2 linked regions of the Mus musculus genome follow. The protein of the gene in region 1 purifies or fractionates together with the protein of each later gene. This does not show direct contact. Links are inferred from orthologs where the notes say so. Each region holds a gene or a part of one and is shown in the gene's direction. Other genes may lie near its edges.

Evidence for each region.
Region 2: the proteins of Smurf2 (region 1) and Tgfbr2 purify together in Homo sapiens (affinity purification with western blotting; 3 studies listed by BioGRID). This does not show direct contact. The link is inferred for Mus musculus from reciprocal best matches to the Homo sapiens genes SMURF2 and TGFBR2.

The regions. Positions count from the first base shown.
Region 1 is NC_000077.6:106,844,181-106,847,747, reverse strand, and holds part of Smurf2 (E3 ubiquitin-protein ligase SMURF2), read left to right. Parts: intron 1-1,606; coding exon 1,607-1,765; intron 1,766-3,567. UniProt on the Homo sapiens protein: E3 ubiquitin-protein ligase which accepts ubiquitin from an E2 ubiquitin-conjugating enzyme in the form of a thioester and then directly transfers the ubiquitin to targeted substrates.
Region 2 is NC_000075.6:116,126,821-116,130,387, reverse strand, and holds part of Tgfbr2 (TGF-beta receptor type-2 isoform 1 precursor), read left to right. Parts: intron 1-381; coding exon 382-572; intron 573-3,567. UniProt on the Homo sapiens protein: Transmembrane serine/threonine kinase forming with the TGF-beta type I serine/threonine kinase receptor, TGFBR1, the non-promiscuous receptor for the TGF-beta cytokines TGFB1, TGFB2 and TGFB3.

The DNA.
Region 1 (3,567 bases):
CCTTAGGTTGTGTGAGGTTCTTACTTGAGTTTGGTGTGTTGTGTTGTGTTGTGTTGTTTGATTTTGAGGTAGGTTCATTATGTAGCTCTGGCTGATATAGAACACACAGAAATTCACCTGCTTCTGCTGGGTTTAAAGGTGTGTGTGTGTACATGCATGTGTGTGTGTGTGTATGTGTGTGTACATGCATGTGTGTGTGTGTGTGTGTGTGTGTCTGTGTGTACATGCATATGTGTGTGTGTGTTTTGTTTTTTAGATGACACAATCTTGGTCTGTAGCCCAGGCTGGGCTTGAGCTTGCACTCTACCTATGTCCTCAGCCTCTGAGTGCTGGGATTATGTTATATGCCACCATGCCTCATGTGTTACTTGATCCTTATTAGTTGGCATTCTCTGGTCCTATGATGGGAATTTGGAAAGTTTTTCTAGAATTGCTTCACCTTTTTGAGCTCTCGGCTTGAGAAGTTCCAGGACTTTTTCCCCAATCTTGGTGCTGATCTCCCTCTTCCCAGCTGCCACTCAAGTCCCACTTGAGCGCACCCCATCGGGGAGTCCGTTCTCTGTTGAACAGAACCAAGTCAGTTCTTCGTTGTTATTGTGAACTGAAGGTTCTCAGAACTTTGCTTTGCCTCTTCTGTAGTGGTTCTCAAGCTTTAGTTGTTCTGCAGCAAAGGAGTGGCCAGGATCATTTTAAGCAGAAATCAGAATCATTATTTGAAGAAATCTCTAAGAGCTGGTAATGCCTCAGTGGACACTGTTCATCTTCGCCTGCAGCCTCCAGTAACTTGGACACTCTGGGATGGTCTCCTTCTGTAGAAGTTTTGCTCTAGCAGGACAGGATGAAAATCTACACTGCTGTTGCTGGTTCATAAACAGCCGGAAGGGAGCAGTACACATAGAACAAGGTTAGGGAGGGCCAAGATCTTCTATGCTTCTAGGCACCCCAACCCCACCAGCCACCTCAGAGCATTCAGCTGCGTTCTGTGTGGTCCTATATATCCTTATGGTGTGTGATACAGTGGTCCTTGTCTGCTAAAAGTACTTGATCTTTTCTTTGTTGCTACAATAAACCTTAAAACATTCTTCTTAAGTATCCTTACCAGGTTTTTCTTCATGAAATTTATAGACTTCAAAACTTTAAAACAACATATTTTGTTAAAAAAGAAATGTTATGATTATTTCCAGGATCAGGATTTTAGTAATGTTTCCAGTTTTGCTTGTTGAAGAACAGTACAATCACTCATTGCATGCACATTTGTTTACACCCAACTTTATGATATAATAAAGAAAGAAAATATTGAATAGAAATTTTTTATATGGTTGACGCTTGTAAAACAATACTTTCTGTCAAACAAATATTGAAGTGTAGTTTATGTTGGCAAGTAGTATGATTGCCAGACTGTGTGATAAGTTTTGATCCATTTAGGAATTGGGTGTTGAATGTGCAAGTTTGTGAAACCGTTGGGAATTAAAGATTCCAGCTGAGCATCTCAAGTTTCTGAAACAATACATTCTCTCAGACTTCATGGAATTGCTCTGTGTCACATACGCTGCTTGGCTCAGCAAGCCCAGTAATGAGGTATTTCTGTTGTATATTTGTTTTGCAGGGATCTTAGCAACATCAATTGTGAAGAGCTCGGTCCTTTGCCTCCTGGATGGGAGATCCGCAATACCGCAACAGGAAGAGTTTATTTCGTTGACCATAACAACAGAACAACACAATTTACAGATCCCCGGCTCTCTGCTAACTTGCATTTAGTTTTAAAGTAAGTTTTGAAGCAGTACATGTGAAAATATTGTTCTAAACAAGAGGATATATATGTGCTTTTTATAATGTGAAAGAATATGCAATCTCTTAAATTTACAATATTGATTTATATTTATGATGAGTTCTCAAGGGGATAGTCCAGGTTGGCTTTGAATTACTGGTGTGGCCTGACAGTTCTTCCTGCCACTGCTTCTTCAGTGTTTGGATTGTAGACATGAGCTACCATGCCTAGCTATAATTTACTTTTACTGATCAGAGTATATGAAAGAAAATGGGATATTTTATTCTGACGTAGTGCATATCTTACTTTCACTGTGCTCAAACAGGAACCAGTACTGAAATGTTAGAAGAAGTATGCATGAGAAGTGCTCAGGCAAGAAGGCTGTTTACAGAGGCTGTAGCTTGACCAGAAGCTGAGACTGAGCAGGCTACTTCTGTGTTGCCATCCTATTTCATACAGCTGATAACAGTGACTGACAGAAATCTCAGTAGCACTTTCTGTGTGTAAAGTGTTGTTCTTGCATGTATTAAGTTTCTTCCTGGTAAATATTTCTCCAGATGAGGGAACAAGCAGAGGTTGACTCTCTATAATTTTCCCAACTTGAAGTGCTCCTAGATTCAGACCTATCAGTGCTTTGGTTTCTGATCATGTCTGTACTGCATGGTTTTTGTACCACATTTGCATCTTTTACTTTGATTTCTCTCTAGTTGCCCATTTTCTCCCAACCTCATTACTTACTGGCATTGTCTTCTGAGGAAACAAGGGAGGAAAGGGAGCGTCATCATCAGGAAAGCAGCAGTGTGTCTTTGTCACCAGTTTTGGGAAAGATACTTGGGTAGTGGTAGAACAACAGACCGTGGCTTCTTTGAATCCTGAGAACAAAGTTGTATCCACAGAGTAACTCAATTTAGAATCTCTAAATAAATACTACCTGCTCTGCTTTCTTCATTCATTAATGTGTGCAATAAATATTGTGCTAAATGTTAGAATAGAATAAAACTAATAGAGGTCAGGGATGATTTTGGGAAATATTCTTGCTTCATTAATTTTTTTAGGGGTAGATTCAATAGGATAAATTAAATGAGAACTGGCTACTACTTGTTTAGAATAATACAAAAGAACCCATTTAATATGTGTCTTTGTTGCTGCTTTGAAAAAAATTGGGGGTGGGGAGGTTGTCTCTTTCCACCACCCTCCCCCAACAGGCTCTTCTTGATCTGGCCATTCTAGAACTCACCACGTAGACCAGGCTGACTTTGAACTCAGAGGTCCACCATTCTCTGTCTCCCTAGTCCTGGGATCAAAGGCGTGCGCCACTATGTCTAGCACTTTTAATATTTATGATTACCTTGTCAGAGTCATTATGTTAATAGACCTTGTTTGTTTGTTTGTTTGTTTTTCGAGACAGGGTTTCTCTGTGTAGCCCCTGTGAACATGATGGTATAGCTGTGCCCTAAATAAATAAATGAATGTATTAAAATATTTTTATTTTTCGTGGGTAGTAAGTTCAGATCAATCTTTTACTAACTCTATGAGCACTGGTAAACCCTTGTTAGTACTGACTTTATTTACCCATCTGTTCACCCTCCCTGGCCTTGATTTCCTTATGGGATACCCCAGTAAAGTCATGGGCCTAACACTTGGTTCGTCTTCTTTTTTTTTTTTTTTTGGTTTTTTGGTTTTTCGAGACAGGGTTTTTCTGTGTAGCCCTGGCTGTCCTGGAACTCACTCTGTAGACCAGGCTGGCCTCGAACTCAGAAATCCACCTGTCTCTGCCTCCCGAGTGCTGGGATTAAAGG
Region 2 (3,567 bases), on another chromosome or scaffold:
AGGCCAGTGAGAGACCCTATCTCAATAACCAAGGGGGGCATCCCCTGCAGAATAGCACTGGATGTTGATCTCTGGCCTCCACATGCATGTGGGCACAGGTACACATCTCTGCACACATACATGTATACCAAAGATAAAAAGAAAGAGATCTACCACCATGTCTACAAGGATAGCTATCTTGTCTGTAATCATAATCAGGCTCTGAGGTGAGCAGAAGGTGGAGAGAGATAAACGAAGCCGGTGCAGGAGAGTTTGGGACACTCAAGTGGAAACCACTTCCTAAGGAATGCACAGACTCAACTGCTCTATCCAGAGACTGGTCATTCATCGTCCCCTCTTTCTGTCCCTCTCTCTTGTCTTCAACAAACCTCTGTGCCCCAGGAGGAAGAACGACAAGAACATTACTCTGGAGACGGTTTGCCACGACCCCAAGCTCACCTACCACGGCTTCACTCTGGAAGATGCCGCTTCTCCCAAGTGTGTCATGAAGGAAAAGAAAAGGGCGGGCGAGACTTTCTTCATGTGTGCCTGTAACATGGAAGAGTGCAACGATTACATCATCTTTTCGGAAGGTGAGTAGTTATCCCGGGTAACAGTCCTCCAGGGGAGCACTGCTGTGTGGAGCACGGAGAGGACAGAGGAACTCAAGAAGCAGTGGGCTCCATGCTTGCCCTTCTCAGATTTGATTCCCATCTTGGTACCTGGCCCTGACAAGCAATTTCTGTCCTCCAGAGCGATGGTTCTTTTCCCAAGCTCATTCTCAGGGCATCTGCAGCAGCTGGGGATTGTTAGCAGTGGAGATTATTAGTATTATTTAAAATTTATTTTCTCTCTGTGTGTGTGCATGGATTTGTGGCTGTGTGCATAGTATATGTGCACATTTGTGCTCATGTGTATGACGTCCAGAAGCCAACTTTGGAAGCCACTCCTTAGCAGCCATCCACCTTGCTTTTTGAAGCAGGATCTTTTACTATGGCAAGATTAGTTTGGGCTGGCTGGCCTAAGATACCACTCTATACAGAATTATGGATAAGTAATAAATGCACACATGTTACTGAGATACTTTTAGTTAATTAATTACCCTGTATGTTCATTTATTTTCCTTGAGGCATTCACTGTGCTACTCATTAGCCTGTGATTCACTAAGCACAGCCCAGGTTGGCCTCAAATTTGGAATCTCCTGAGTGCTGGGACTGCAGGCCTGAATATTCTTTGACGTTCCTTTCCTTCATCTATTATTTCCTTGAAATGAAACAGCCTTTGAAAAGCGCAGTTGCTGGAGCCTAAGGAATGTGCACAATGGACCAACAGCTCCATGGTCTGGAGACCCGCCTCTCTCTGACTCCCAGTAGCTTCCCTCATGCCCTTTGGCAAAGAGTTCCTACTGGGACTCATATTCTTGCTGTTTTACATCTGTTTTTTGTTTTTAGTTTTTGTTTTTTTGTTTCCTGCCTGTGTTTTGTGACTTCCAATTAAAACCAATAGCCATGACCTTGACACAAATCCTTTAAAGTATGGATGTTGGGTGCCCTCAGTGTTTGAAGGCATGATGTTACTATTCCAGATGCCCCAACCTCTAGATGTATGTATGTATGTGTGTATATATGTATGTATGTGTGTATAGACAATCTATGGGCAGTCAGACAGACAGACAGAGATTGGCAGGTCTTTTTTTTTTTTTAACCTATCTACCTGCTACATGCCAGTCCCTTCAGAAGAAGGGACAGATTACAGAGAGACCTTGTCATCTAGTCAGAAAGCCATCCAGGTATCCCCAGCCTGAAGCCTGCAGGCTACATGTGCACCAGGATAGCTATGAATAGAGACCAAAGCAATATCATAAACATCCTTAAAACTCTGTAGGATGTGTTTTGTGATTTGTTTATGTTTTACTTTGGGCGTGACTGATTGCATGGTTCTCCAGCATGAACTTTGTAGATCACACTGTCAAAAGGCTGGGCATGTCTGGAAATGTTAAAAAAAAATGGGCCTTTGCTTTCTCTGGCATCTCCTACCAGCCTCCCGTGGCAGCAGGCTTTGTGTGATGTCTGGTGGCTTCAGTGCATCTTGCATTGGCCAAGGAGAAAGAAGAGGAGAAAGCAGCAGAAACAGAGGGAACACTAGCCAGAAACTGCCCGCTCTTCAGAGCTGTCCCCAACACAGCTCCCTAGAACTGTCCCCAACACAGCTCCCTTGCCTTCTCTGGAGAACGCTTTAACTGGGGGGACCTGAGAACCTACCCAATACTCATCTAAATTCAGAATGCAAATTAGTAGAGGGGGTGTCATGATGGCCATCTGACAGCCATCCGTCAGCAAGACTTGATAGGTGCCAGAACAGAAGTTTAGTCTAGCTGGGCGTGGTGGCGCACACCTTTAATCCCAGTACGTGGGAGGCAGAGGCAGGTGAATTTCTGAGTTCGAGGCCAGCCTGGTTTACAGATTGAGTTCCAGGACAGCCAAGGCTACACAGAGAAACCCTGTCTCAAGAAATCAAAAACAACAACAACAACAACAACAAAAAGTGTAGTCTAAGATGTAGCAGGGCAAGTGTTATCAGGAGTGGCTGTCTTATAACCGCAAGATGGCACGCTAATTTTGCAAGACATTTATGTTTCGTTTTTGGTGTTTTATATGTGTACATGTGGTGTCTGTGTGTGTGTGTATGCACATCTGCATACAAGTGTGCACGTTCATGTGGACGTTGATACTGGTTCTCTTTTTCTATCACTTTCAACCTTGTATGTTGAGCCAGACTCCCCCTGAACTCAGAACTCACCATTGGGCTTGGGTGGTTAGCCATCTTTGCCCTGGGGATTCCTGTCTCTGCTTCTGGAGAGCTGGGATTATGAGAGGGTTGCCACACTAGCTGGCTTTATGTGGGTTTTGGGGATCCAAACCCTGTTCCCCGTGCTTTGAATGCAGCAAGCACTTTACCTGGTGTGAAGTCTCTCCATACCTTTTGCAAGTCACCTGCTGATCTCTGCCTTCACTGCTAGGACTCAAAGGCGCTCACTGACCTGCTTGTTTCTTGGTTGGGTTCATTAGTTCCTTTCTTGCCCCATCCCTCTCTTCATTCTTTCCTTCCTTCCTATGTAGATAAAGTCTTATGCATCCCAGGCTGGTTTTGAGTTCATTATCTAACTGAGGATGATCTTGAACTCCTGACCCCCTTGCTCTACCACCCAAGTCTCAGGGTTATTTACGCTGGGCACCAAGCCTACTCAGCTTCTATAAGTGTATTAGCGATCTGAACTCTGGTCTTTATGCTGTGTGGCAAACACTTCATCTACTAAGCCACCTTCCCAGCCACACATTGTTTTTGAGACAGGGTCTCTTGATGATTCAGAACTCAGCAAGGAGGTTACATTGGACATTGAGCTCCAGGGATCCTTCAGTCTCCACTTCCCGGATGTTAGAGTAAGTGGCTTCAGGTCCGTTCTGGCATCTGGGTTCAACAGCTGAGTTCCAGCCAGGCCCTTTGAACACAGCATCCAGTAGCCTGGGTACCACACCACAGGCACACTGGAAAGGCTTGCTCTGTTTTAATCTGTGTCTCTTCCAGTGC